7 linked regions of the Ovis aries genome follow. The protein of the gene in region 1 interacts with the protein of each later gene in a pairwise test. Links are inferred from orthologs where the notes say so. Each region holds a gene or a part of one and is shown in the gene's direction. Other genes may lie near its edges. The genes, in order: FHL3, DCDC2B, SAP30BP, HIPK1, SLC25A46, GCM2 and PATL1.

Region 1 (2,829 bases):
CCTGCGGGGAGACCGTCATGCCCGGTATGTTCCCAGGGGCTCCCGGGGGCTCGCTGTGCGTGGGACTGGCATGCCTGGCATCTGTGTAGCATCCGTGCATGTGCGTGGGACTGGCATGCCTGTCTGAGGCTTGATAAAGAACTGCCCATGCCACAGGTTCCTGGAAATTGTGTGCAGGATCTGTTGTGCCTGTTTGCTCTTTGGAGCTTAGCACGTGCAAGGACTGACACGCATGACACACACCTGGGGAAATAACACATTTGGCACACATAGTGTACTGAGACTGTCAGTGTTTGTTGCCTTGGGGCTTGTGTGCAAAGACAGAAAAGACAGATACATAGAGGACTTAACACGTGTGGCGACCTGCATGGCTGATAGAATGTGAGGATTTAGAACATGGAGATAGGCATGATGAGGATATGGCCGGGCTTCCTATGTACTGAATCTATCATGTCCTAGACGTTAGACTCGCTTGCCTCGTAGATGGGGTCTCTGTGTGTGTGCTCACACTATCACATCTGGTGTATAAGGGCTTGCTTAGCATACACTGAGTCATCGCGCCCATCACCTGGAGGCCTGGTAGCAGCTGAGGTCATCATATTCTGGGACATGTGAGGACTTCACTTAGGCCAAACCCTCAGGTCACATGCTCAGCCAGCATGTCTGGTGTTGGGGGAAAGTTAGCATGTGCAACATACGAGGTGGGGACCCTGGTGAAAATGCATGGACACCACCTTCAAGGCTGCGGGAGCAGCAGGGACCCTCCTGGAGGGTAGCAGAGGGTGGCACTCAGGAGCTTGGGACACAGCCTCTGACGGGACCCCTGTCCCCCACAGGGTCCCGGAAGCTGGAGTATGGAGGCCAGACGTGGCATGAACACTGCTTCCTGTGCAGCGGCTGTGAGCAGCCGCTGGGCTCCCGTTCCTTTGTGCCCGACAAAGGCGCTCACTACTGCGTGCCCTGCTATGAGAACAAGTTTGCTCCTCGCTGCGCCCGCTGCAGCAAGGTGGGGGCGGCGTGGAGCTCCACTGCACTCAGGGGAGGGGGTGAGCAAGGCTCTGTTGTTGCGGGGTGGGAATCCCCACGCCTCCCCCTCTGCTGACAGAGGCTGCCCCCACAGACGCTGACACAGGGTGGCGTGACATACCGTGACCAGCCCTGGCATCGAGAATGCCTGGTCTGCACTGGGTGCCAGACGCCCCTGGCAGGGCAGCAGTTCACCTCCCGAGAGGACGATCCCTACTGTGTGACCTGTTTTGGAGAACTCTTTGCACCCAAGTGCAGCAGCTGCAAGCGCCCCATCACAGGTGGGTCAGGGGGTCCAAAGACCGAATGGGTCGGGTGTAGGCGGAGGCGGGGGGGGGCAGGGGATCTGGTCTCCATGAGGCCAAGGGACAGGACCGCCCTCCAGACGGCAGCACTAATCCTCAGCCTCCCTCCAGGACTCGGTGGAGGCAAGTATGTGTCCTTCGAAGACCGCCACTGGCACCACAGCTGCTTCTCCTGCGCCCGCTGCTCCACCTCCCTGGTGGGTCAGGGCTTCGTGCCGGATGGAGACCAAGTGCTGTGCCAGGGCTGCAGCCAGGCAGGGCCCTGAGCCAGGGCTCCGGGACTAAGGCTTCTCCTCCAGACCGCCTCTGGGACCCAGCCTTTCCCCAGTTTGGGGCTCCCCTTGGGTTCCAGGATTCAGCCTCCCCACTCCAGCGTCCTCAATCTGGTACTTCCTGACCCAGGGCCCCCAAACTTGGGCTCTCCCGGAGCCTTCATCATTCAAACCCCCTCCTCAAATCTGAACTCCAGAACTCTGTCCTCTCCCTTTGGGTCGGGCTTGCTTCCCAGACCAAGCCCTTTCTCCAAATCAGGGCTCTGGGACCCAATCCCCCTTCAATGTAGACTTGTCTACAAAGACTTTAGGTCTCCTTTGGGTGCCTGAGAGGTCCTCAAAAGTCAAATATACTCAGGCTTGACGCTCCCCACCCCTGTCCCACTGGGATCCCCAAGGATGGGGCTGTCTGGGCAGCACTGGTTAGGGGGTCCTAGGGTACAGGTTTTTGCCCATCCCGTGTTGTGTTTTCTCTTTTCATTTCAGCTCCATTTTGCCCAGAGATGGGCAGAGGGGTGGGTTTGGCTTGCCCCCGTTTCAGATTCTGCAATAAAGCAGTATGAGAAAGTGAAGGCCTCTGTTTGGCTGGGGGTAGGGGGAGCGGGCGGAGGTGGGTGGAGGGGCAAGGAAGGTTCCTTCGCCATAGCTAGGGAATTCGGAGGCTCTTCCCACCTCCTCCCCGCAGGACAGAAGGAAGCTTCCAGGCGGGGTGGGAAATCTCTCCAGAGAAAGGGGATCCCCGCCGCCGCTACCGTCCCTCTCTGGTTTAGCCGGCCTCCCTTCCACCTCCCCCGCCTGCTGGCAAAGGGCTTTTTCCTCCAGTGAGGAAGGGAGGGATTTAGGGAGTTTGCGGACCGGAGCCGGCGCGGGGGCGGCTGGTGTTGGGTTCTCCGTCAGGTACAAGTCACTCCCCTCCCTTAACAGCCCCCCACGAACCCCACGGAGCATCCAGTGCGAATCCCGAGTCTGGGCCCAGACCCTCAGCCCCCTTCCCCCTCTTTCCTAGGATTAGCGGAGGCGGCCCGGGATCCGCTCGCGGCTGCACGTTTTTTGCCAAAAAAGGCAAGGACGCAGCTGCACGCGCCGCGGGAACATCTGGATCCGATTCCCGGCATGAATGGGTCATGGCCCCGCCCCACCGTGATTCAAGGGCGGGGGCGGGAATGAGCCCGGGGGTGGGGGGTTGGGGGGCTGTCCCCCAAAATGAGGCGATGGGGCGGAGCGCT
Region 2 (4,467 bases), on another chromosome or scaffold:
ACCCCACAAATTCCCAGAAAGACTGGCCACTCCAGATAAAACAGCTGCTGGGGCCAAGTACAGGGACCCATCCTACAGATGGCCTGGGCCACAGCTGCCCGCACCATCGGAATACCAGGCCACAGGGAAGAGGCTCACCAAAGAGCAGGACTGTGGAGAAGAGATCTCTGGAGAGACCTGCCTGCAGCTGACAACACTTCTAGAGGATGAAAGCCACAAAGAGCTCAAATCTAAGGGCTCCTGTCCTGGAAAGGCCAGGACACAGCTGTCCACACTCCATGAGGACCCAAACATTGAAGACAGCTCTCCCAGGGGGCCATGCCAGAAAGAGCCTGATTGGCAAAGAGCTGTGCCACGAGAGTTGGGCGTCTCAGAGGACCATGTCACCTGGGATGGGTCTTTGGCAGAGCATGGTGGCCTGGATCTCTGGAAGAATAAACCACCCAAGGGCCAGATCCCCAGTGATAAAAGCTCCATAGATAGAACCTCCAGTGAATCTAGCGATGAAGGATGGCAAAACCAGAGGACTGTACCATGTAGGTCAAGGCCCCCTGAGAAACTGTCCACAGGGTCAGACCACACAAGAGAGGATCACTGGAGGGGCAGACAGTGGGAAACAGGACCAGCAGGCTAGACCCTGGGGAACCAGGGAGGACCGGGTTCCAAAGGGCGATGCTATGAAAGGGCAGTGAGGGAGACAGGACCTCATCCTAGCTCCCTGGTTCCAGTTGTACCTCCTGCCCCTGCCCCTGGGTATTGGTGGCTAGTGAGGCCAAGAGAAGCTGGAGCACAGAGCTGGCATCAGTAGAGGAAGAAGGTAGGAGGCTACTTTCATCCTCTGCCTGTGGTTCAACCCACATTTGGGGATAGGGAGCAACCTGGGGCAAGTCAAGTTGGAGAATAAAGGTTGAGAATAAATAAAGATGGAGAATAAAGGTTTTCATTAGATTCTGAGCCTGGTTGTATTTGTCTTCTGCCCCTGGTCAGGACAAGCTTCTGGGACCTCCTGTTCACTTTCTGCTGACATGGGGCATCCTCTCCAGAGCTGGCTGAGAGCCACAGCCCAGGAGCAGACTAGCATCCTTGGGGAACAGCCCCCCAGTGCTGTTGGGCTACAGTGGCGGGGAGGCTCTGAGAATCCCTGCCCCGACCCAGTACTGAACACCTGTGTTTCAGTGTGATCTCTGCCACTGCCCCTCTCACTGAGCCCTGGCTCTTCCTTCATACCTCATGACCAGACCCACCCTACTCCTGTGAGGCCCCACCAAGAGCAGACCGGAGACCCTGAATGCAGACAGGTGCTCCTACGGAGGCTCTCCCTGCCTTCCTGGGTAAAAAGGCAGGACTCCACCTCTGATTGGCATTGCTCCCAACCCTGTCTTAGCTGCCTGGCAACAGCTCTGCGTCTCTAGCCACAGACACACAATGGCCAGTGGCAGTCCAGCAGCCAAGAAGGTAGTGGTGTACCGGAATGGGGACCCCTTCTCCCCAGGCCGCCAGCTGGTGGTGACTCAACGCCGCTTCCCCACCCTGGAGACCTTCCTCTGTGAGGTGACATCGGCTGTGCGGGCCCCAGTGGCTGTGCGTGCTCTCTACACCCCTTGTCATGGCCACCCTGTCACCGACCTGGCAGACCTGCAGAACGGAGGGCTGTATGTGGCTGCGGGTTTCGAACATTTCCACAAGCTCCCGTGAGTGGGCTGGGGGTGGTCAAAGAGCCTGGGGAGGGAGGTAATAGCAACAGCAACAGTCAGTACTGACCAAGTAGCTCACTCATGGGACATTAACAGTCCTGTAAGGCGGGTGGTCTTACCCCAGTCTTTGGAAGGGTAAATCAGGATAGTCCTAAGCTGCCTAGGAGTAGACAACACAAGTGGCACCACTGTTCAAGTCAAGAGTCTGACGCTGATGATCATGCCTATCCAGCCAGGACCAAACCATGGGAAGAAGAACATTCTCATGCTAGCTGAGCCCCCTTTTCCAAAGGCTCTTCCTGATGGGATCCTTATCACCCCCATCACCACCACCACCAAATACTCTAAATCCATCCATAGGCATCCCGTGCTCTCCAGTAGGCTGGGATCACCCTTTACAGGGTGTGGCTGTGCTTTCCAAGATGGGAGACTAATTTCAGTGTCTGAGCTTCCAACTCAGATCTGGCTTCCAGGTCTTCCTCCACTCTCAGCTGAGAGGTTGCTCGCTGTAACCTAAGGAGCCAGGAGTTGGGAGCTAGACAGACTTAGAATCTGGGCTTGGTCACTCCCATGTTACTTAGGGAGTCCTTGTTCTGTCTCATACAAAATGAGATGAAACCACATACCCCATGAAGGAGAACATCTCTCTGAGATACAGAAGGATTTAGACCTTTAATTATATGGTTTGTGCCCTGGACTGGATGTGCAGCCTGATACATGCAGGGCCTAAGGCAGGTTCAAGTATCAGCATCTGTTTCTGGACTGAGATGACTTGAGACTGTTTCACTGGGAAGGGAGACCTGGTGAGCTGGGCCCCAGCCCCGCCCTCTGGCAGCTGCTGGGCTGCTGAGTTCCCCCGGCTCCCCAAGATGACCTGTGACCTCTCTGTCCTTTCAGCTATTTACCCCCTGGAGGGAAGGATCCAGGTGGGAAGAGCAGCAGACTGGCAGTGAGTCCTGGGGCAGGCCAGCCCCCAGCCCTCTGTTCTCCCCCTCCTCTGGGACGGCTCCCACTTTGGTCTGGGAGGTCAGGGGCCCCAGAAGCAGCTGGATCTGCGGCTCTCCACACCTACTCTGGAGCCAACTGCTAGCCTTCCCAGGGTGCAGGATTTCAAAATGCTGTTCCCTGCACCTTTTGCAACCTTTTATCTCCAGGCTGTGGTCCTCAGAGGAAAGAGGACGCTATAAAACAGAGGGATGGGAGGGGGTTAAGAATGTGACTTAGGGAGGTACCCTGTGGTAAAAGGTGTGACGGTCCCACCCTCCTTACCCTCTCTTCCGCCCGTCTGGTTCCTTTCCCTCATGCTACCCACCTTAGACTGACCTACCCCTGACCAAAGGCCTCAGTGCGTTCCTGACCTGGGGACCTGATGGGTTTCAGGGTCTTCCCATGACTCGGCAGCTGTGTGATGGGGCCCTTGGACGGCAGCTACCTGCAGGTTCCCCCTGCTACATCCAGTGAGTGCCTGTGTTGGGGAGGCGGGGGCATAGATTTTTGTTTCAGTGAGGCCAAGGAAAAGTAGGTGGATTTGTTCCAGGAGCTCCTGGTGACTGGTAGGGATGGGAAAAGTCCAACATGCTTACTGGGTGAAGGGGGACCCATGCACTGGGTCTGACTGTCTTCTGGCCCCAGTGCCATCCTCCTCTCACATGTAAGGAGTTCTGAGGACCGTTCCCCTTACCAGGCTGCTCTTTGTCCCAGTGTGTTCAGGAATGGGGACCTGTTAAGTCCTCCGTTCAGCCTGAAGCTGTCCCAGGCCGCCAGCAAGGACTGGGAAGCAGTGTTGAAGCTCCTGACGGAGAAGGTGAAATTACAGACCGGGGTTGTGCGCAAGTGAGTCTGGGGACTGCGGAAACCCGAATGTCCCCAAAGGGAGCCGCCCTACTGGTTCTGGCCTTCCTGGAAGATGAAAAGGCCAAAGGAAAGTATGTTTCCCCAAAGGGGACTTCTTTCTGTGCCAGAGGGAAAGGCCCTTCCAACCCAGCCCTTGGAGCCAGGGTGGAGCCTGGGGGACTGGCCCTGGTACCCAGAGGACCAGCAGCTGCCAGGCACCTTGGAAGAACTGTACCCACCCTCTCACAGTCTGCTGAATATCAATCCACCTTGTTCACTGGCCCTTATTGTACTCACCTCTCTCCCAGGCTCTGCACCCTGGATGGGCTCCCACTGTCAGCAAGGGAGGCTCTGATGAGCGGCCATTACTATGTGGCTGTTGGAGAGGATGAGTTCAAGGCCCTCCCCTATCTGGAGCTGCTGGTGTCCAGTCCCTCACTGCCCAGGGGCTGCTGGTATGTATATATGAGGGGGAGAGGAGGCAGGTTAGAGCAAAGGAAGCCACCCTGAGTCCATGTCCTGCTCTGCCCCCTATAAGCCTTCTCTTTTTTCATTGCAGGCATCCCCCAGGTCCAAAGTCCAGGCCCCACAAGCAGGTGGTAGGTGACCCAGGGTGTTGTTGGGGGGCGGGAAAGAAGGAAGTGACTAGCTTCCCACTGAGGCTCTGACCTTATTGTACTGTATACTCTCAATAATTTTGTGAAATAAAGATTGCTATTCCCATTTTCTAGAGGACAGGCTGAAGTTCAGAGGAGTGGTGTGATTTGTTCAGGGTAACACAGATACTGAGCAGCCAGACCAGGACCAGGTCTGAAAGTCAGCTTATCTGGGCTCTATGAAGATCTTCAGGACTCTGAGTTGCTGGACCTGATGCCAGATTGGATGCTGGGAAAATCAGTATATCTGGCATAGCAGGGTCCAAAATGCTTGTCAGCTTCCC
Region 3 (3,778 bases), on another chromosome or scaffold:
CCAGTGAGTACTTGCTGGGTGTTAGTGGTGCTGGGTGGTTCATTCTTTGCCTTCATCCTGCCCCACCCTGCTCCGCCTGCTGTTTGCTCATTGTATAGTCCTTTTCATGAGCGAACGTCTTAAAAAGCACAGACAGAGTCTTACAACAAGTAGCATATTGTCTGGGTGATCCAGAGCACGACTCTGCAGTTGCCAGAGTGGCCGGAGGCAGCAGGGAGGGGAATGGAGGGAGAGAGAAACTTGGGTGGGCAGGGGCACATCGCCAAGGGAATTGTCCCTTGGGAGCTGTGGGTCTTCACTGCAGAATCAGGCCTTTTGTTCCCAGGAGTGAAGTGGACCGAGTGAGGGTTGATTGGTTTACTGCTGAAGGACCCAAAGCTAATAACCAGCAGGTCATTTTGTATTGAATAGATGTCATTTATGTACAAAGCAGTTTTGAATGCTGAGTCCCGAATCCCAGGGAACCCTGAGCTTGTGGTGGACCCTGGGTAGCAGAGCCTGAGGTGGGGGGACAGCACCAAGCAGCTCTGAGTTCCCGGGATCCTGGGAGGGTGTGGCAGGGGCAGAGCCCGTGGGAGGCACAGCCGTGTGTGCATGTCTTCCCAGCCCTGAGCTCATGACTTCACACTGGTAGCTTGAAATTGATTGGCCGTGACGGGAGAATTTACACCAGAGAAAGGGGCAGATGCTGCGGGTCGTGGGTCTGCCTCTCCCACTTCCCAGCTGGTGTTAAACACTCACCAGCACCCCCAGGACACAGTCTTTCCTCTGGGCCCGGCTGTGATGTGGCCGCTCATGACCTCTGCCTGAACTTCTTTCCCCACTGCACCTACCGGTTCCTTCAGGTCATTTAAGTTCAACTCAGATGCACCCTCCGAGAGCCACTCCGCATGCCCTGTTTTACTATTTTATAGTGTGTGATCTCTCCTTGAAAATGCTTTCTGTGCCTTTCCTGTCTTGAAGGGTTTTTTATTGTCCATGTCGGGCCCCCACCCTGACCCTCCCGCGCACCCACAGAACTCCTCTGTTCTCTCCACAGCCTCCTTTTCTGAAAGAGTCCGGAACATGTCACCTGATGAGATCAAGATCCCTCCGGAACCCCCCGGCCGGTGCTCAAACCACTTACAGGTACGCACACGCTCAGCTGCTGAGGCCCGTGCAGACTGGGCAGGTGTCTGGCTGGGTCTGACTTTAAGTGGCTTCTGGAAAAGAAACAGCCCAAGTGGGAAGGAGCCTGCAGTCCTGGTGACCTCGCTTAGGCCGCTCCTAGGAGCCGGCGCCCTAGCCCCGGCTGCCTCTGCAGCCTCAGCCGGGCCCCTGCCTGCCCCGGGACACTGCCAGCAGAGCAAACAACATGCCTTTTCTGGGCATCCCTGAGCTCAGGGAATGTCTCTGAAGGAACTTGGCTAAGAACCTGAGGGGTCATCAGAATGTTCAGGAAACAAGTAGGAATGCAAATGCATAGCATGTGAATGCGTACACTTCAACCCTCGTTTTCCTGAAATGGCAGTTCATGGGCTTCTTGTCTGATGATCCCTGACTTGCGGAGATGGAGTGTGGAGTGCGGTCACCTCGGGAGCAGGCCCACAGGGAACAGCTGGCCTTACTCCTCCCTGTCAGCCTCAGTGGCGGTTTCTCCTTGTCCCTCTGCGTGTTCCCCTTTGAAGGGGACCTTACAGTAGGGCAGACACCCATGGCTGCCCCCAAGTGGGGCCTCTGGCTACACAGCAAGCCCTCGCACATGCCGACTGAGGGGTGACTAACGGGGCCTGGGGCTGGAATGCGGCCACCTGGGTGGGTGCCGAGCGGGGCAGGGCTGCAGCACACAGTCCCTTCTCTTCCTGGAAATCCGTTCCCTTTGCTGAGTCGTCTCCCCATCACCACCACATAGCACCCCACCCCCGGCCCCATGTCGCTCACACTCCAGGCAGCAAGCCGCAGCCTGTAAGGACAGTCCAGCAGCCACCAGGCAGAGATAGCCAGCCCCAGCCTTCAAGATCAAAATGTTTCTCCTTTTTAGATCCTGCTAGTGGCAGAAACCATGAGCAAAGGTTTTAGTTCCCCTGAGGTAGAAGAACCAGCCTGACAGCCGAGGGCACACAGAGAAGTCATCTGTAAGATACAGCGGTGCCTCCACCTGCTGAGCCTCCCGGGAAGGCCTGCCTCCATCACCCACAGAGCGAGGACATGGAGGCATGCGCTCGGCTTCTCTCTTCCTGGCAAGCGTGTTACAGACCTCTCTCCCCAGCTCAGTGCTTTCCCTGGGCAGTCTTGACTCCTGACAGGAGTGAGTCACCTTTCCTAATGTTCCAGAGGACCTCGCTCAGGCGAGCCACCCCTCCCGCCCCCCGCCCACCTCCTCTTGCAGGTGAAGAGCACTCCAAGTGGTTTCCTCCTGGACAGTCTGTGTTTAGCTGCCACTAGTAGGGGAGGCTGCCGAGAGACCCTGCCCTGGGCTAGCGCCAGCCTCGCTGGGTAAGCCTGCCCCTCCTCAGAGGTAGCCCTGCCCTGAGGCTCGGGTTCCTGGGGCCTCTTCAACTCCCTGGGCAGCCCTGACGCCATCTGTTGCCAGCATCATCTCTGTGGGCCTGGGGACACCTGTTACACTGGCCTGGACCCCGCCAGGTGGTTCTCTGGTTTCCCATTGAGCCAGAGCAGGGCTTGGCTCTTGACCCCCAGCAATGCCTCTTGGTAAAGTGGCAAGGACCGGCCAGCAGTGAGCCTCCCCTCAGAGGACACTGGGGAGGCTTGTGACACCTCTCCTCCTGCCTTCCCAGGTCTCCTGCTGGGTCTGACTAACCCCGTGTTAAAATTAAAATCCAGCATTCAGCCCCCACCTGTCAACACTAACTCTTGAAACTCCTCTTCAGATGATTCAGCAGCTGATTCCCAAGTGAGGGTTTGTTCACTGTCTTCGCCATGGCTTCTCTAGCTCCACCTTCTTATTCCTCCCACTGCTGACCACCGAGAGGGGATCAGGAGAAAGCACAGCGAAAGCAGGCTGGTCTCCATCTGTCTCGTCTGCGCTGGGTGGATGAAGACCGTCTGGCCGGAGCAGGGCTTCACTCAGCTCCTCCAGGTCCTCGTGTCCACAGCACGTGACCACAGGCTGGGATTGCAAGAGGTTCCGTCACCATCGTCTTTCTGTCTCCCTTCCGTAGGACAAGATCCAGAAGCTGTATGAGCGGAAGATAAAGGAGGGGATGGACATGAACTACATTATCCAGAGGAAGAAGGAATTTCGGAATCCTAGGTGAGTTTTCCATGAGCCAGCAGGGGGGCGGTGGGAGGAGTGATGTTGGACTGGGGACAAGAATGCCTCCAGAGAGGTGCAGGGAGAAGCCCGGCTCAGATCCCAGCTGAGCCCAGAGAGACCATCACCCAGACTGCGTTAACCTCACTGAGGCTTCGTCTGCCATTGAAGAGCCAGGCAGCAGGTGCAGAGGGGAAGCCGCGAGACGTGGGCTGGGTGGGGCCTGCCTGGGCTCTCATTCCCTCTCTCCTCCTGGAGAGCATGACCTGAGGCCTTAGTGTCCTCAGCTGTACGAGGAGGGGATTGTCTGGATGGTCACCCCAGGTCCTCCTACCTCTAGAAAGCTGTTGACTCTATGCAGGTTTGACAGACAGACCTGTGTCTGGGTCTCACTCTCTCCAACGTTCAAGCAAGTGACACATCCAGGAAAGAGCCCAGGGCGAGAGCTGCCCTTGCCCTTGTGGGCCTAAGTGGGGATGCTCCAACCAGCCCCACAGACTGAAAGTCTGACGTCCAGTTGAAACC
Region 4 (4,491 bases), about 79 Mb from region 1:
GCAAACTCTGGGAAATAGTGGAGGACAGAGGAGCCTGGGGTGCTGCAATCCCTAGGGTCACAAAGAGTCAGACATGACTTAGGGACTGAAAAATAACAACAAACAAAACCCAAAGAGGTAAAATGACTGGGACCTGAGGAATGTAACCTGATAGTATAATCTTGTTTTAGCTGTATCTGCCCTCTCCTTAGAGTGCCAGCATTCTAAGTCACTTGAGTCGTGTCCAGCTCTTTACCACCCTTGATAGCCCACAAAGCTCCTCTCTCCTCCAGTATTCTCCAGGCAAGTATAATGGAGTGGGTTGCCATGCCCTCCTCTAGGGGATCTTCCTGATGCAGGGATGGAACCCACATCTCTTATATCTCCTGCATTAACAAGTGGATTCTTTACCACTAGCGCCATCTGGGAAGCCCCCTTAAAGAGTATATGCAAGTAAATACCATAGGTCTGTACAATCACTTTCTAGGGCTCAGATCCTTGCTGCCTCCAGAACTTGTAGGAAGGAAAAAAATAAACTGTCTGCCTAAAAATGTCCCACACTTTAGGAATCAGAGCATTTTACACACCAAGAGGTATATCTGAAGACTTTCAGAATCTCTTGGCCAAGGGAGATGGCAACTGTCTTTCTTTTAGGATAACCTAGTTTTCAGGCAGTGTTTATTTTTTCCAGAACGTTGCATTCCTTTTCCTGAACACCCGGTTTTACTATCTCCTGGTAGAGGAGAGAAAATTATGGTAGTATGAGCTCACTGAAGCGCTTGAGGGGTAGGGTTCAGAGTACAGCTATTCTTTCTCACCTCCTGTTGCAAACCCAGCTTCCCTAGGAGGGAATGGAAGAGCCCCCTGAGGGGGCCGTAATGGGCGTGGAGGCTCACAGATCCCGTACACCTCTGCCAAGCAGCTAGAACGTCTCTAGATAGCGAGGAAACATTAAAGCCTAAACTTGGGTCATTCCTCCCCAGCTGTCTCCCCGCGCGCTGCTCAATCTCTGGAGGTGTCACACTAGGCGGTGGTGATGTCACACTAGCGGGGATGACATTTTAAACCTGGACCTCACACCGACACTAGGCACCTTTAAGTCACCTCGGTGTTGGCCGTGCGGAGGGGGCGGGGAGATGGCCCCAGCACTCGATCCACACTGGCTCCCCACGGAGGTCCACTCACTCCCACTTCCACTCCCACCCGTAATATGAGGTCGTCGTAATCCTCCCGCTCTCCCGGACTTCCGCCTCAGTAGGTGTCATGGCGCGGGACCCGGGACTAGTTCCCGTGAGGCGGGGCGGGCCGGATGAGGGCGGACGCTCGGCGCTCAGCTTGTCGGGTCTGGCGACAACCGCGGCTGCGGAGCTAGGGGCCCGGCGGTGGCCCCGGACAGCAGCGGGAGGCCGAGGAGGGAGCGCGCGGGTCTGAGGCGGCGGCGGCGGCGGAGAGGGGCCGGGCGGTGGAGCGGGCGGGAGGCTGAGAAGGCTCCCCTCGCGGGACGGGCGCGGGGACGGCTCCGGGGGGCGGGGGCCGGGGCCCGGGCCGGCTCGCGCAGGGGGTATGATGACCCGGCGGCGGGGCCCCGGATCTCGTCTCCTCCGCCGCCTCCTCACGGCAGCCCCAGCTCGCGGCTGAGAACCAGAAGACACACCGGCGGTGAGTCGAGGCGGGAGAGCGGGCGGGCAGGGGCCTCGGCGGGGAGCGATCTCCTATCGGGTCCCCGAGGCGGGGCCAGGCTGGCCGCGGGCTCTCCGGGGCGCCCGGCCTTGCGGGGGGCGCCTCCCTCGGCAGCCCCCACCCGGGACCCGGCGCCAAGCCCTGCGGCCCGGCCGCGGAGGGGATGGCGTTCCCAAGAAAGTGGGGAGGCTGTGGGCTTCTTTTCGGGGCAACTCCTCCTGCGTCCTGCCACTTCTCTCCTGGGCGTGTTGTCCTCAGATGACAGGGGGCCGCCTGGCGTCTCCTCACCCGGCCGGTTTTTCCTCGGGTGTCGTGGCCGGTTCCCACTGTATGGCTTGCGCGTGTGAATTTCACAGCTCTGCTTAGCGCCTTGGTTTGGGGCTATCTGTGCTGCTGGGGACAAGGAAGCGGTGTCTGAACGGACGGCGGCGGTGGGGTGGGTGTGGAAGCCCTCCTATCCTCTCCGCTTGTGTTCTTTAATCGTTAGCTTGGTAAATCGTGATGATGGTGGAGACTCCGTGGGACCGGCCAACCTAAATGTATATCTGTGTTAGGTAGATCTAGAAGTCTGGCTCAAAGGGAAACTTTTGCTGTTTGTCGCCACTTTGCCAAAGCTTTCGTTAAAAAAAAAAAAAAAAGTCTCGGGGGTGGGGTGGGAGGAAACCACCAAAACTCTTGGGTGAGCCTCCGCGCCCCAGTCCCCCACCCCCACCCCCGCCCCGGTGTTCACAGGTCTGTGGGAAAGAGGCCGTTTTTGTGCCTAGCAACCGAGACCTGGGACTCAGTCTCCAAGAGCACTGGTCTAACCTCCAGTTTGTTGTGGTGACAAACCGTGAGGTTTGGCCTGTGTTTACGCTGGGCGCGCTTTCTTTCCTGTTTAGGTGGGGGAAGGGAGGAGGGGCTAGAGAAGGGGGGAAAAAACAGCCCCAAGCTCGAGTGTGTCTTTTCTCCAATTAAACCATTGATTATGTTGCAGATTCTCTTTTTTGAGGCAGCTCTAGGTGCTTTTTTCCTTTGGGAATTTTCAGTCACTGTATCAAATTATTAATTTCAGCTATAGACTCTTCTGCCCAATCCTTCCTTTATCTTATTTGTTTCCTAGTAACTGATGAAAACAGCAGCATGGCTTCCTGCTCCTGATGAAATGGGGTTAAATTAAGTGGCTGATGCCCTCAGCAAAACCTACAATTTTGCTCTTGTTTGTGTAAAGCTATTTTTGATTCCTGGTCTGTAGTGTAGTTTTTTTTAAGATTATAGAGAATGCAAATCATTACCAGCTCTTTTTCATATGTAGGTCTAAAGCTTTCTGTAAAACATCTAAAAAATATACTAACAGGTCATTTTATATAGTTGTTGTTAATGCAGCTGGTGATTTTGGAGATACATGTAATAATCTCGGGGTTCTGTGTTGTAGAACTGGTATGATGGTGTGAAGAAGGATATCATTGACTTTAAGACACTGTTCCCTGGCTTGAAGAATATTTTGGTAAGGTACTTGTGGTTGCAACTGGAGGCAGTCAGGCTAGTAAAGCATTTTACCAGTAAAATGGTGAATGAGATCTTGTAAATATACTGACTCTGGTTAATAATAAGACTTTCGCTGGCGATATCTTTATTCTATCTGGACACTGTAGTTTTATGGATTGCAGAATAAGTTGATTGGTAACTTGAGATTGAAAACCAAACCAGAACTTTCTACTAACAGGGGGGAAAAAAAAAAAAAGATAATCTCAACATCCACAATTCTCTGGAAAATAGAATTCTTTTTTTCTGTGGTTTGGTTTTCATAAGCACAGCTTAGTCATTGGTTCTGTTGGTAGAAATCAGTGAGCCAAACCTGCCTTATGAACTTCTTACACTTGGAACTTGGGCAACTTGTTAGTTATATATTGTAACTGGTTCTTCTGTAATTTGAGGTAATTTTGCAAACATGAACTTCCTGATTGGCCCTTTTATTTTCATGACTGTATAAAGCAATCCATAATTTTTAAAGTTACAGTTATTAATTCCTCCCCAGTGTCTTCCCTTAAATGTAATGCCATTCTGAACAGAAGTCATCAAAATAATTTTTCTTTCAAGTACCACTTCAACAGTCATTGATTTGCTTTTTGGTTCCTTTTTTGTTTTTATTTTTTGTTTCCAATCTCCCAGCTCCCTAAATACCTTATGTATTTTTGTAAAGCATAATTTGACACTTAAAAAAATTTTTACATCCTGTTTTTATATTTTTCTTTTTTATGTGTCACACTAACTAAGCAACATTTTAAGTTCTTTGGAGACAGGGAAACTTGGGTGCATTTCTTTTGGCTTCTTTAAGGATGCCTGGGACAATGCTTTCCCACCATACTTAATGAAAAAGAATCAGAAAACCTGAATTTTTTGACAGCATTACTGTTAATTAGCTCTGGGTAAAACTTGTGTGGCTTTCTTGGGTCTACTTTTTCTCTAGGGCATTTTAGAAAGGGTCTTTTAAGCTCTATTTTAGCTGCAAGAATCCCTGTACTTTTTTTTTGCCAGTGTCTTCTCCAGTCAAATACTCTAAACAGCTTTTCATTTTTCCATATCCCCTGGAATACTTTCTCAAGTTAGCTCTTTCATCTGTAAGACCTTCATCTGCCTTCCATCTGTCAGACTGTTGTTACCTTACTTGAGTCCTATTTTCCTTAGGCCCTTTCTGGCTAAAGGTCCTCTCTTAGTGTTCGTGTTTCATATTGGTCTATGCTTTGTTAATTTGCCGTTTTTCTTATGATAGAAACTGAGGTATAGTTTTCTTTACTGTTAACTTTATAGATATTATAGACTGTCCTGTGCACATACTAGGATAGTACCATT
Region 5 (4,392 bases), on another chromosome or scaffold:
AAAGCTAAAAAAAAAAAAAAAAGGCAATATATTACAGCTGGAATTCATATAACAGTAGGTTGTGAGGTGAGGCTGTTGTTTCTTCCTCTCAAGCGGCTACCCAGTTATCCTCCTTTTAATAAGCCATCCTTTCTCCAGTGACATAGATGTGAAGTTGTGAGATGCCCTTGTTTTTATATGACAAGTATATATATGTACACACACAGAGAGGACTTTTTCTCTTCCTTTTAATAAACAATAAGTTTTGGACCTGAGCCAATCCCAATCTTGAGCCATCATTCTTAAGGAACACAGATATATCTTTATTACGTTCAGTAACTAACTGGATATTAGATATCCAGTAATTAGGTACTAGCGTTGGAATAATACTGAATACACTTACTAAGGAAAAGAATACATTTTCCCAGCCACATTACAACTCAAGAATGTCAGTCCACTCAAGACGAAGCTGATGATTACTCTGAAAAAAAAAAAAAAAAAGAAAGGTTCGCTCGTGGAAGACTGAGAATAGTGCGTCAGAGTTCTCTGAAAGCCCTCAGAATCCTGGGCGGCCGGGGGAAGAAAGGACCGAGGAAGAACCCATGCTGGGCTCGTTGAGACCTAAGGAGACACATGCTGCCAAAACAGCCCATGGAGCTAATAAAAACAGGTAGTAGATGACTCTTTTAGAAGTCCTCTTAATTTTCAACTAGGTGTCGGTTTTGAACAGTATCGCTTGGGATTTAAATATGCCCCTGACTTGAGAAGCACGAGGCAAAATAAAAAAAACAAAACTACAGTAACTATTCGAAGTCGTTCTGTGGCCTTAGAAAAGGAAGATGCTTAATTCCTAAGTCCTGGAGAACGGTTTGTATTTTGGGGTGGAGCCAGGAGGGCAGGAACGAGGAGCTTTCTCCCGCGACCTTCATTTCTAAGGCTTGCTCCAGCCTTCCACAGACTTCGGGTTCACTGGGCCGAACGAGGCATCTCAGTAGATTTCAGTCGGAGCGCCAAGTACCGGAGGGAAAGCCAGGTGTGACCTTTGGACACCGGCAACTGGAACCTCCAAGAGCGCCTTCGTGGCTGGCGGGGCATTCGCGAGAGAAATATAGACCTCGGGCCCCTGTGTGCGGCGAGGCACTTCCGGGTGAGACGCCCAACCGCGCGTCCTCTAGCTGAAGGCTCCTCTCGCCCGATCAGAGGCCTCCCTCCAAACCCCTAGCTCCTCCCATTTCCCGGCATCCTCCCACCTCCCGGCATCCTTCCCGCGGGCCGCCGCTCCGTGTGCCGCCGCGTTTCCTTAGCAACCGCGCCTCCCGCGGCCGCAGGAAGCGGTAGGGTCACGTGCTCCCTGCACGTCCGGGCTGGCGGCGTGACTTCCGGGTGTCAGGCTGCCCGGGCGCCGCGGCCGCTGAGGAGAGGCTGTGTGGCCCGGGTGGCGGCGGGCTCCGGGGCGGGCTGGCCTTATCCTGCCCCTGTGCGCGATGCATCCGCGGCGCCCGGACGGGTTCGACGGCTTGGGCTACCGGGGTGGGGCCCGGGACGAGCCGGGCTTCGGCGGCGCCTTTCCGGCGAGGTCCTTCAGCTCCGCGTCGGACCTGAGCCGCTGGGTGACCTCTCCCCCAGACATCCCGGGGAGCCGCAACCTGCACTGGGCCGAGGAGAGCCCGCCCCGCGGCGCGCCCGCCCCCTGCACGCCGCCCGAGGGCCCGGCGGAGGGGCCCTGCCCCGGCGGCGCGGGGCGCAGCGGCGGTGAGGGCCTGGGCGGCGTGCAGGGGCGGGCGCCGGAGGGAAGGCGGGGAGGGCCTGCGGGGCGGCGGGGAGGGCCTGGAGGCCTCGGAGGGCTGGCGGGGTGGTCCGCGCGGAGCCGCAGGGAGGGACCCCGGGCGCTGGAGGGGCGGGGAGAGTGATCGGAGGCCAGGCGCCCGCAGACCACGGAGGCGCGACCCGCCGCGCCGCCCCTTGGCGCTCCTTTCGCCCTCTGCCCCCGGAGCAGGCCTCCGCCCTCTCCCTACTCCAGTGGTTTCTGGAGAGGCTTGCCGTAGCCTTGGCGTGGCAGCGATCACGGAAGGTTTCGGGATGCTACCTCGCATGCCCTGAATCCACAAAGGAGACTGGTTTGCTGTTTATGAGGACTCACATGAGAAATAGCTGATTGACCGTCCGCTGTATCACCTTCATTCCATTGATCAGTGGTGGCTTTGCGCTGTGCAAAGAACTTTCTCCGAGACCATAGGCAGTCTTGGGCTCAGAGCTTTCTCTACCACTCTTAAAAGCTGAGACTTTCTTATCTTTGTGTTCTCTTACTGTCCTCATCTTTAAGGTGTATAGAAGAATAATTCAGGGTTTTGTTAAAAAAAAAAAAAACCCTACAAACAGAATGAGGTGTCAGTAATGCCTGAAACAGTGTGGACCACACAGTAGGCTAAAAGTCGGTCTTTTTTCCATGTAATCATAGGAGTTGTGTTTGTGTTCTAGATCCCAAACCACTACTATGTTTTCCCACCTCCTCTCTTTTTTTTTTTTACTTAAAAACTCCACTAAAGAATGAAAAACACTGAAGACATTTTCAAGATAAGAATTTGGAATCAAGACATAATTATTCTGTGCAATGTCAGAAGATCGGTTCAGTTCAGTCACTCAGTCGTGTCAGAGTCTGCGACCCCATAGACTGCAGCACGCCAGGCCTCCTTGTCAGAAGACAGATGTTTTAATTGCAACCCTATGTGATGTAGATATTTTCAACATCGTCTGGAGTCATAAAATGGAGATAATGGCTGCTGCATGTTCCCGTCTAAAAGTGTTAGAATAATAGATCACATCCTTAAGTATGATGTACATTGTAGACATACATTTTAGCCCCGTTTCTTCGACTAGGAAGTACAGTAACATTTATTTGGGTTACGGGGAGGAACAGATCGTACCGTCATCCAGTGAGGATGGATGGAGGATCAGTGACTTACTCAGTGTTATGTGTACAGTTAGGTTTTTACTCTGTCTAGTTCTGTTTTTTTCCCATAGGTCTCAGAAGGAGTACTGGAAAGTTATAAATTATTCAGAATGCATGTGATTGCCTCACAGTTACCTTCTCAGGCAGTAAAGCTGACGTTTTATCTTTTCATAATTTATGCGCTGATGGTTATAATGAGATCTTAATATCCAGGGTTTTGTATGGAGTGTTTTGCAGCAGTTAAGAAGCTGATGAAAAACTCTGCAAAGAGGATAGAAGCCTGGGAGACTTAGTTAATACTAGTAAGCCTTCCTGACACCTTCCAGAGAATGTCAGTGGTATTTTTTTGTTCGTTTGTTGGATGACCTGTACAAACACAAAGGGAAAAGATGAAAGGAGGAAAGTATCTTAATTGGGCAAAAGAAGCCTCTGCCCTTGTACATTTTTCAAGGCAATGGTGGTTTCCCCAGAGATTGTTTACATGGTCTTGTTCTGCCTCTCAGGGAATAGTGAGGGCATCACTTCATTAGAAAGAGCAGAGATGAGAGGGAGGGATTGGAGAAGAGGGGAGTGAAAACAGAATGGGAGAAAAATCCCTTGTGAATATTTTAGCTGAAATTTAATGTCTAGTCTCTTGGGGTTTGATATTTCATCTTTATGATTTTAAGTTTTTCAGTTAGGGAAAAATTTATTTTCTCTTTTGACTGTAAACCCAGCTGTAAACCCTCCTGATCAGACTCTAACTGTGCCATGAGCAGCAGCACATATGTGCGCAGTAGTGTATCACAGAGACCTGATTTAGCTGCGTGTTCAGTCACTCAGTCAAGTCCGACTCTTTGCAACCCATGGGCTACAGGGTGTCAAGTGGCCTCTGTCCCTGGGACTTTTCAGGCGAGAGTACTGGAGTAGGTTGCCATATCCTTCTCCAGGAATTAAGCAGCTACTATCAAACTATTCTGGAGGAAAATGGCAACCCACTCCAGTATTGCCTGGAAAATCCCATGGACAGAGGAGCCTGGTGGGCTACAGTCATCGGGGTCACAAGAGAGTGGGACACGACTTAGCAACTAAAGAACAACACATCAAAGTCTTTAAAACTTGAGAAGAGAGCCTCTTTTCCCCATTTCAGCTACCCTAAGTGCTCTTTCAACTTAATTATATTCATGGGATGTTTTGCTTGCAACTGTTGGTGTAACACAGATACTTTCCACCAGTCACAGTGAATGACTGATTACAATACAGGAGGTATGGTTGATGAAAGTTATCAGTCAGAGTCCTCACTAGAAAAAAAAATTAGTTGGAAGTTGAAAACTAGTAGCTCTTGGCATTTACCTACAAACATGTTGGATTTGGTCTACATGAAATTTTAATCCTTTTTAAAATAGTTGCCAGCATTTTAAAATTGGAAGATACTATATAAAAATGAGAATATCTGTTTAGAAAAATCACAGCTTTGAAACCCT
Region 6 (4,366 bases), on another chromosome or scaffold:
CTGGCTATGCTGGTAGCAGAAACGTGCCATCCCCAAGAACAAAGGCGCAGGGAGTGAATTCTGGAAACCCACCCTCCCTCGCTGACCGTGGCGGCCACAGAGCAACTTAAACCCCTTCCATTGGTTCCTTGTATTGGGCCCTTCCAATCACCCTAAGGAAGTGGGCGCACAGCTAAAGAAAGCTTGGTCTCAGCCCTGGGAAGCCCACAGCGCCCTATGCGCTCACCTGGTTCTTCCAGTCTCCAGAGCCTCTGCAGACGCAATGGGTGTAAATACGATTTTGTTGTGATATTTCCACGACGATTTCCACGCGGTTAGGGAGGAAAAAAAAATACTATTTTTTAAAAGGGTCGTTTCATGTGGATGGCGACTGAGAAATCTCCGAGCCTCAGATCCTTTTCCTAGCAGAAAGAAAACAGGCTCAGAAGTAGCCAAGGCGGCAGAGAAAATACAGGTTTGGGGCGCTTGGGGGCCGCAGAGTTCCCCCCCTCCTTCCCCTTCCCCCTTCCTACCTGATGCGAAGAACTGACTCATTAGAAAAGACTCAGAGGCCGGAGAAGAAGGGGACGACAGAGGACGAGATGGCTGGATGGCACCACCGACTCAGTGGACATGTTTGAGCAAGCTCTGGGAGATGGTGAAGGATAGGGAAGCCTGGCATGCTGCAGTCCATGGGGTCTCAGGGAGTCGGACACGACTGAGCGACTGAACAGCAACATCAGCCGGAACAAAATCCCCGAAAAGAACGCGCCCCAAAGCTAGTAGGCGCGCATCTTCTCGGACAAGGGCGCGCGGCCGCCCAGGCGTTTAGAGGTGGTTCCCGAACTGCCTGGGGACTGAGTATTACCTCTTGGGCATTTTGCTGGAAAGGTTCTGTCTCAAAAGCCTCTCTCTAGATCCAGTAGGAAACCCCAGAGGTGGGGCGCAGTTAGGAAAATGAACATGAGTTTCAACTTTAACTAGACATTTCAACCTCCCCCGACTCTGGCCCGTCTAGGCTTCAGTTTCCCGTCACCTTGAGTCCTCAGGTCCACCTCCCCTCCGTCCCTCGCCCTGCCTGGAAGTGGGGAACCGGCCCTGCAGGTCCCTGGAGGGTGGGAGCGGGCGGGCGGGGAGCGAGGAAAGGCGGAGCACAGCGCGCGGGGCCGCGGGGCGGGGGTGGGGGGAGCACCTTTATAAACGAGCAGGCAGCTGCCTGGCGCCCGCGCTGTGCTCCAGGTGGAGACTTTTCAGCACTGCCACCAAGAACAGGGCTCCACCCGAACCGCCCCGAGCCCTTGTCCGCCGCTTCTGCATTTCTAAATCGGCCTCTCTGTCTGTCTCTCTCTCCACTTGCTTTTAAAACAGCGGGAAAACAACCTTGGGCTGCTCTAGGTTGGTTTGTTTTTCTTGTGTCTTTCAGGACACTTGGCAGGGAGCGCCCGCGAGGAGAACCGGATGCCGGCGGCGGAGGGGCAGCTGGCGGACTGCGCGTGGTCCTACGGGATGAAGCTCAGCTGGGACATCAACGACCCGCAGATGCCGCAGGTGCGTGAAACCCGCTGCGCGAGCCGCTCTCCCTCCAAAGAGGAGGGATGTCTTGGCAGAGCCTGTGGACAGGCCGCCCTACCCTCCTCCTCCCTCCAAAAAAACACATCCCTGAGAGCCCGCCAATGTGCAGGGACTCCACAAATGGCGGAGCTGGGGCTAGAGATTGTCTTCTCCCACCTGTTTCCTCGAACCCTTTTGAAAACACAGAAAGCAGCAGGAACCGTCAATTAGGCTCCACGTTTCAGGTCGTCTGGCCGCCGGGAGCCTGACACCGCGTCCCCCACTTTCTTTTAACTGAGGTAGGAATCCGCTGACTCTTGCTTGTCCATTCTTCGACATCCACTAGAAAGGTGGAGGGGCATCTTGGTGAATGCAGATGCCACCTCTTCTCACGCAGCGGAACTGAGATAGGACCATAAATTGCAGCGACCGAATCTTAAACAGCAGGACTTGGGCCATTTATCCTGGCTGCTAGGATGAAGCGTGGCTCTTGAGGGGCTTTGCAGTCGCGCTAACCAGGTCGCAGGCGCCCAGACAGCCTCTGGAATCCAGGTTTTGGACACAACTTCTGAGCTTACTTCTCTAGTGAGGAGGAAATCAGTGTCATCTGTTTAGGGTGAATTTAGGGCGAATTTGTTTTAGTTTTTAACAGAAAGAAGGTGTCTCAAGCCAAGTCCCCAGAATGGGCTGGGCCATTATGCTTGGTCACAGTGGTTGGGAGCAAAAACTGCAGAGTGACTTTAAAGTCCTGGGTGGAGGTGGAAGGAGAATTAGGAATGACCTGGAAACATTTGCAGAGGTGGACTTCTGGCAATGCCCTGGTACAAGGGGTGAGAGAGACTTGACCTTTATTCAGCATCTATTATGTGCCATACAGCTGTTCAGGTGGACAGCAATTCATTAGCAACGTTGGGTAGCCTCTCAAAGAGATAAGTACTTTGGGGTACACATTCATGGAAATCTGTTTGTTTTCAAGCCTGCCTACTTTAGGGTCACACTGCACCATTCTGTGAAAGTGGACCACAGTACAGCTGCGGCATCTCCTTCCCACTGACCTCTGTCCGTGTAAATCCCCACGGGGGCTGGGGGGAATCTGTTCTTGTATTTTAGAAAAGAGCCATATCCAAATAAGGGAAGGATGGGTTCCCTCACAAGCATTTTCTAGACTTCCCATGTAAATGTGAAGAACTTATCCTCTGAGAGATTAGTCCTTAAACAGAGTGAGTGTGCCGTCTCTAAAGAGGCAGGTGCTCTGGGTTGGAGAACGAGGGTCCTGCTCCGGCTAACCCAAGGAGAAAGGGCTACACTCACAGTGTGACATTGAATTTGTCACATTGTGACATCCTGAATTTGCCTTCGTCTAGGGTCACTCACTTGTCATTAAGCAGTGGAATTAGATAACGGTCTTAAACTCTCATCCTGTGCATGTTTAGGACACTATAGTGTGAAAACAGACCAAACGTAGACAAATGTACATGGCCGTGTTCTAATACCACTTCATCGTGGATAGCAAAATTTGGATTTCGTGTGACTTTTCACGTGTCACAACATATAATTCTTTTGATTTGTCCCCTCAATCATTAAAAAATGTCAAAATCATTCTTAGTTTGTGAGCTGTACTAAAACAAGTGGGAGGCTGAATTAGGCACATGGTCCCTAGTTTGCAGACCCCTGCCATAAAGAGTAGCTGGTAAATAGTTGAGTGTGCAGGAAAGGGTAATTTTATATTAAACTTATAACAAGAAAGACATCGCAGTATAAATAATGCATAATATGGACAAGGACCACCAAACATGAATAGGAAAGCGGTGTTCATTCTTTTAGATATCACATTATTCTAGCCAGGCAGCTCTTTGTGTAGGAGAATGACAATCCATATTGCTCTGGAGAGAGGACCAGGACCTAGCAGGCTCCACCAAGTGCTCGGGTTTACCTTATATCCAGGCTGTCATCATAATACCCTTGTAAACCTGGAAGGCTGGGCTTCCCAGGTGGCAGTAGAGGTAAAGAACCTGCCTGCTGGTGCAGGAGACATTAGAGAGAGACGCAGGTTCAGTCCCTGGGTAGGGAAGGTCCCCTGGAGGAGGGTATGGCCATCCACTCTAGTATTCTTGCCTGGAGAATCCCATGGACAGAGGAGCCTGGGGGCTACAGTCCATGGGGTGGCAAAGAGTTGGACACGGCTGAGTGACTCAGCACGTATACATGCAAACCTGGAAGGCTACTTTGGGAAGCTGTTCTTGTCTCTCTCATGTTGTACTGGGTATCAAGCCAAGAGCTTTGGAAGAAAAACCACTGGATGGAAGAAAAGATACAGGCTCAAGTGTATATCAGTGAAGAACTTTCTAACCACTTTCTGCCCTGGCACTTTAATACTTACCTTAAAAATATTTGTAACATGTGAATACACCAAGAAGTGGTATAACCTGGTGGTAAGGAGGACAGGCTCTGGAGTCAAACTGTGTGGGCTCAAATCCTACAGCCAGATCTTACTAGCTGTGTGACTTTGGGCAAGTCGATGAAGCTCTCTGGCCTCCGTTTACTATTCAGTTAAATAGGGACAATATTGCGCCTATTGTCTGTGGGCAGTGTGAAAGCTAAAACTAATACCTGTACCATTTTTGTAGGAAGTGGTATAGAAGCATCAGTTTATAGCCAGTTGTCAGAAGGGGACACACACACAATGAGTGACATTTTGTAAGAGCGCAGCTTCTGGGTTTTACAGTATTTCTGGAATTAAAAAGACTCAGTTTTCATCCTGATATGCTTGGAGAAGATTAAAAGCTTGCTGCATGGGGTTTGGGGTGGATAAACTTGATTGCTGTCCTTGGACGCC
Region 7 (3,778 bases), on another chromosome or scaffold:
ACATGGATTTTTGTAGTGAATTTTTAGGTCTGGAGTAAAGACTAGAGAACATAGGACCTCCTGGCAGTCTAGTGGTTAAGACTGTGCTTCCACTGCAGGGGGCTTGAGTTCCATCCCTGGTCAGGGGAACTAAAGTCCCCGCATGGAACACAGCGGGGCTTCCCTGGAGGCTCAGCAGCAGAGAACCCACCTACCGTGCAAGGGACAGAGGAGACGCAGGTTCAATCCCTGGGTCAGGAAGATCCCCTGGAGAAAAAAGTGGCAACCTGCTTCAGTATTCTTGTTTGGGAAATCGCACGGACAGAGGAGCCTGGCGGGCTGCAGTCCATGGGGCCACAAAGAGTCGGACACGACTCAGCAACTAAACAACAGCAGGCCATGCAGTGGGGCCAGAAAAGAGAGACTGTGATGATCTTCGTTGAATGCTGTCTGCCTGTGTTGCTGGGTTTTTACTTGTTGGCAACTTTTTGTCCTTGCAGTGCAGTTTGAGGGCTCTTTGGGAAAGCTCACTGTCTCTAGTGTGAATAATCCCCGAAAAATGATTGATGCTGTTGTGACGTCTCGGAGTGAGGATGATGTAAGTAGCCACAGAATTGTGTGTTTAAGGAAGTCTGGGTCAGCACTGCTTCTTTGACGGTCCCTGGGTTGGGATCCTAAGGCAGCCAGGCAGAACCTGGGGTGGCAGGAGCCTTTGAACTGGCTCCTGCCAGGTAACCCTGGCCACAAACAGCATTAGCTGTTTGTTCCAGCTTTTAAAACTATCATTTTCTGTGTGCTTAAGATTTTCCTATGGTATCTTCATTTTCCATTGCATTCTCCAGTACCTTTTGCTCCTCTGTGAACTTAGTTACTAGTTCATGTGTGGGCCCTTCAGTCAGCTCTGTGACCTTTGCCCCCATTACTTCTGCCTGATTATTAATCCCCACAGTACTGTCACAAATAGAATTACCTATGGAATTTACCAGCAGTAAATAATTCTTAACATGGTTAAAGAGTTCATATTGAAAAGTCTTTTCTTTTTTTTTAGGAGACAAAAGAAAAACAGGTTCGGGACAAAAGACGAAAAACCCTTTTCATAATTGAGAAAGTAAGTTTAGAATTGCCAAAGGTGCTGTAGTTGGTTTCAGCTTAGCAGACTGTGAAATGTGTGTGTACGCGACACGTGGGGAAGTAAACAGTCGGCCAGTGTCCTGCGATTTTAACTGATGTACATGTTTGTGCAAAGTGCCTGTTGTGTACAGGGCATGCTGGAAAGGAGTGTGGTTTACCTCGCCTGTGGCCTCGTGGAAAGAGCACTGTAGTTACAATCAGAAGTCCTGGGGTTTTGTCCAGGCTTGTTCAGTTAGTGGCTGAGTGTTTTAGGGCAGGGCATCTTTCTAAGAAAATGAAGAGAAAAATTACACTGTTCTGCCTGTGAATGGATTGTCTGTTCAGTCAGTTCCCGTATGTTTATTGACCATTCCCTGGGTGTTGGGCACTGTCCTGGGTTCTAAGGAAAATCAGTAGTAGGCAGTTAGTGTTGAACCATAAAACACCATGTTGTGGGGCATAGAGTATAGGCGTTAAGAGCACAGACTCTGAGAACAGGCTCCAAATCATTTCTCACCAAGTCTGTGACTTGAGGCAAGTCATTTAACCTTTCTGTGCCGTCTTTGGTTTTTTAATCTTTGAGAATGAAAGTGGTGAGAGTCTCCTCTCACTGGGCTGTGGTGAGTATTCCATGAGTGAGTATTGGCACGGTGCTTAGAGCGGGGCCTGGCACCCTATAGTCGCTAGCTGTTTCGTTTTCACAGATAGAGGCATCACGGGACGCGGTGGCGTGCATTGCTCACGTTACTAACAGGGCTGCTGCTGGAAACTTTGGGAAGTGGATAATCGTGTCACTACCATCGCCTGCTGGATTAGTGGTCAAGAAGGGGCAGGGAGCGATTCCTGAAGGGTGTCTTCTTCCTGAGTTGTTTGACAGTGTTTCTCTGGGTTTAAGCGAGCAGGTTTTTCCTCTCACTCTTCTGTGAGCTTCCACTCTTACGTTGTTGTCTGCTAGTCCTGGACGGCCACGTTGTGCACCTCACGCTGAGTTTGCTGAGGCCCGCTTTGTCTCTCCCTTAGACCTACAGTTTACTGCTTGATGTGGAGGATTACGAAAGGCGTTACCTCCTAAGTCTGGAAGAAGAGCGACCTGCCCTGATGGATGAAAGAAAGCACAAAATTTGTTGCATGTACGACAACTTAAGGGGGAAATTGCCTGGACAGGAGAGGTGAGAATTGTGTCCTTTGGTGAGAACATTAGTCTCGCTGGATTCCTTTGAGCTTTATATATCCTGCCTTTACCCTTCCTTACCATTTCAGTAAGCTCACTCCATAGAAAACATTTTAGAATCCTTTTGAGCCTGGGGTGGGGGAGGGGGTGGAAATCTATGTATCTTGAATTCATTCATTTAGCAAGTACCTCTTCAATACCTATTAGGAACAGTGCTGGACGCTGGAGACAGTGGGAAACATTTAGTTTCTTTTGTTGAGCTTATAGATTGTATCTAGTTTATGCTTACTAATGTTCAACCGTGTAATCTTTATGTATTTTCTTTCCTACTAAGATGGAAAGTGTAAACATTCATGCTTTCCTGGGATTGCCATACAATTCTTATTTGCTGTGGAAGCCAGTCAGTCTTCCAGTGAAGACTAAGCTTCTTAGTATAATTTCTCTGTCTCTCTGTCATCTCTCTCCCACCCAGTATCTGGAATAGAATCTTGCTAATGGTAAATGTTCCAGAAATCACAGTATTTATTTGATGAATGCAAGAGGATGCTCCCTTTGTCTTTGCCCATTCAAGAGAATTGATGATTCTTTTTGAAAAGGACCTTCTTTTTAGCACATCTTTTCTGGAGTTGGACTGACAGGGAGCTTGGTTGAATAAATCTGGGTTTCTCCGTAGATTGGACTGTTACGTAGCCAGTAAAATCTGTAAAGTATTATGTATTGCCATGGAAAAGTGTTTATAAGTTTTTGAGTGAAAAAAGTAACAAGCCATATAAATTATATGGATCCCCCTTTTTTAAAAATGAAAGATAAAAATATATAATACACAGCAAAAATGCCTTCAAAATGATAGCACTAGTGAATTATCTCTGAGATTATGAATATTATTAATACATGTATATTTCAGATTTTGCTGTTTTAACCATGTCATTTGTGTCGTTACTTGAAAGTTAATAAAGGAAATCAGTGCCTATGGTTAGATTAGTTTTTTTAATGTACAATTTTTGAAATGATTTTCAATATTCATGAAACTCAAAGAATTTACTTTTTATTATTTGTTGAGAGTTGGTAAAGTAATTCTCACTGTTTTGTAGTGCAGATCATTGCAGGGTGCACACGAATGCAGTGTGTTCATCTGGCAACATGGAGGAGGAGAAAGGGGGTTTCTGCGTTGCTGTTGCTGACCCGAGCTGGCCTTTTCTTCCCCGCAGCCCGAGTGACGACCACTTTGTGCAGATCATGTGCATCCGAAAGGGGAAGAGGATGGTGGCCCGGGTCCTGCCTTTCCTCTCCACAGAGCAAGCAGCGGACATTCTCATGACAACAGCCAGGAACCTGCCTTTCCTCATCAAGAAGGATGCGCAGGATGAGGTGACCCGCCATGTGGGGTCCTCTTTCCCTTGGGTCTTCACAGTGGATAAGATTTCCAGAAGCCAAACTTATTTTCCCCCCTTTTCCCTTTTGTGTTCTTTTACCTAATCTTTGGCTCCATGAGTATTTAAAGCAAAAACTTTACTCCAA

What was found.
Region 2: the proteins of FHL3 (region 1) and DCDC2B interact in binary tests that used the Homo sapiens proteins (3 or more experiments, as listed by UniProt). The two-hybrid records come from large-scale screens. The link is inferred for Ovis aries from reciprocal best matches to the Homo sapiens genes FHL3 and DCDC2B.
Region 3: the proteins of FHL3 (region 1) and SAP30BP interact in binary tests that used the Homo sapiens proteins (3 or more experiments, as listed by UniProt). The two-hybrid records come from large-scale screens. The link is inferred for Ovis aries from reciprocal best matches to the Homo sapiens genes FHL3 and SAP30BP.
Region 4: the proteins of FHL3 (region 1) and HIPK1 interact in binary tests that used the Homo sapiens proteins (3 or more experiments, as listed by UniProt). The two-hybrid records come from large-scale screens. The link is inferred for Ovis aries from reciprocal best matches to the Homo sapiens genes FHL3 and HIPK1.
Region 5: the proteins of FHL3 (region 1) and SLC25A46 interact in binary tests that used the Homo sapiens proteins (3 or more experiments, as listed by UniProt). The two-hybrid records come from large-scale screens. The link is inferred for Ovis aries from reciprocal best matches to the Homo sapiens genes FHL3 and SLC25A46.
Region 6: the proteins of FHL3 (region 1) and GCM2 interact in binary tests that used the Homo sapiens proteins (3 or more experiments, as listed by UniProt). The link is inferred for Ovis aries from reciprocal best matches to the Homo sapiens genes FHL3 and GCM2.
Region 7: the proteins of FHL3 (region 1) and PATL1 interact in binary tests that used the Homo sapiens proteins (3 or more experiments, as listed by UniProt). The two-hybrid records come from large-scale screens. The link is inferred for Ovis aries from reciprocal best matches to the Homo sapiens genes FHL3 and PATL1.

What each region holds. Positions count from the first base shown.
Region 1 is NC_056054.1:12,739,552-12,742,380, reverse strand, and holds the end of FHL3 (four and a half LIM domains protein 3), read left to right. Parts: coding exon 1-24; intron 25-836; coding exon 837-1,006; intron 1,007-1,120; coding exon 1,121-1,597; 3' UTR 1,598-2,175; downstream 2,176-2,829. UniProt on the Homo sapiens protein: Recruited by SOX15 to FOXK1 promoters where it acts as a transcriptional coactivator of FOXK1.
Region 2 is NC_056055.1:235,318,223-235,322,689, reverse strand, and holds the start of DCDC2B (doublecortin domain-containing protein 2B), read left to right. Parts: upstream 1-1,414; 5' UTR 1,415-1,425; coding exon 1,426-1,691; intron 1,692-2,591; coding exon 2,592-2,643; intron 2,644-3,074; coding exon 3,075-3,151; intron 3,152-3,395; coding exon 3,396-3,527; intron 3,528-3,835; coding exon 3,836-3,982; intron 3,983-4,086; coding exon 4,087-4,126; intron 4,127-4,467. Other genes in the region: IQCC (IQ domain-containing protein C), read left to right, coding at 1-634.
Region 3 is NC_056064.1:55,228,888-55,232,665, reverse strand, and holds part of SAP30BP (SAP30-binding protein), read left to right. Parts: intron 1-1,039; coding exon 1,040-1,128; intron 1,129-3,161; coding exon 3,162-3,253; intron 3,254-3,778. UniProt on the Homo sapiens protein: Plays a role in transcriptional repression by promoting histone deacetylase activity, leading to deacetylation of histone H3.
Region 4 is NC_056054.1:91,246,881-91,251,371, forward strand, and holds the start of HIPK1 (homeodomain-interacting protein kinase 1), read left to right. Parts: upstream 1-1,613; 5' UTR 1,614-1,638; intron 1,639-1,672; coding exon of another isoform or gene 1,673-2,049; intron 2,050-3,073; 5' UTR 3,074-3,145; intron 3,146-4,491. Other genes in the region: basic proline-rich protein-like, read right to left, coding at 1,161-1,613, 1,673-2,049.
Region 5 is NC_056058.1:107,227,457-107,231,848, forward strand, and holds the start of SLC25A46 (mitochondrial outer membrane protein SLC25A46), read left to right. Parts: upstream 1-1,340; 5' UTR 1,341-1,463; coding exon 1,464-1,731; intron 1,732-4,392. UniProt on the Homo sapiens protein: Transmembrane protein of the mitochondrial outer membrane that controls mitochondrial organization.
Region 6 is NC_056073.1:44,530,248-44,534,613, forward strand, and holds the start of GCM2 (chorion-specific transcription factor GCMb), read left to right. Parts: upstream 1-1,437; coding exon 1,438-1,527; intron 1,528-4,366. UniProt on the Homo sapiens protein: Transcription factor that binds specific sequences on gene promoters and activate their transcription. Through the regulation of gene transcription, may play a role in parathyroid gland development.
Region 7 is NC_056068.1:81,413,980-81,417,757, reverse strand, and holds part of PATL1 (protein PAT1 homolog 1), read left to right. Parts: intron 1-479; coding exon 480-577; intron 578-1,027; coding exon 1,028-1,087; intron 1,088-2,109; coding exon 2,110-2,258; intron 2,259-3,468; coding exon 3,469-3,628; intron 3,629-3,778. UniProt on the Homo sapiens protein: RNA-binding protein involved in deadenylation-dependent decapping of mRNAs, leading to the degradation of mRNAs. Acts as a scaffold protein that connects deadenylation and decapping machinery.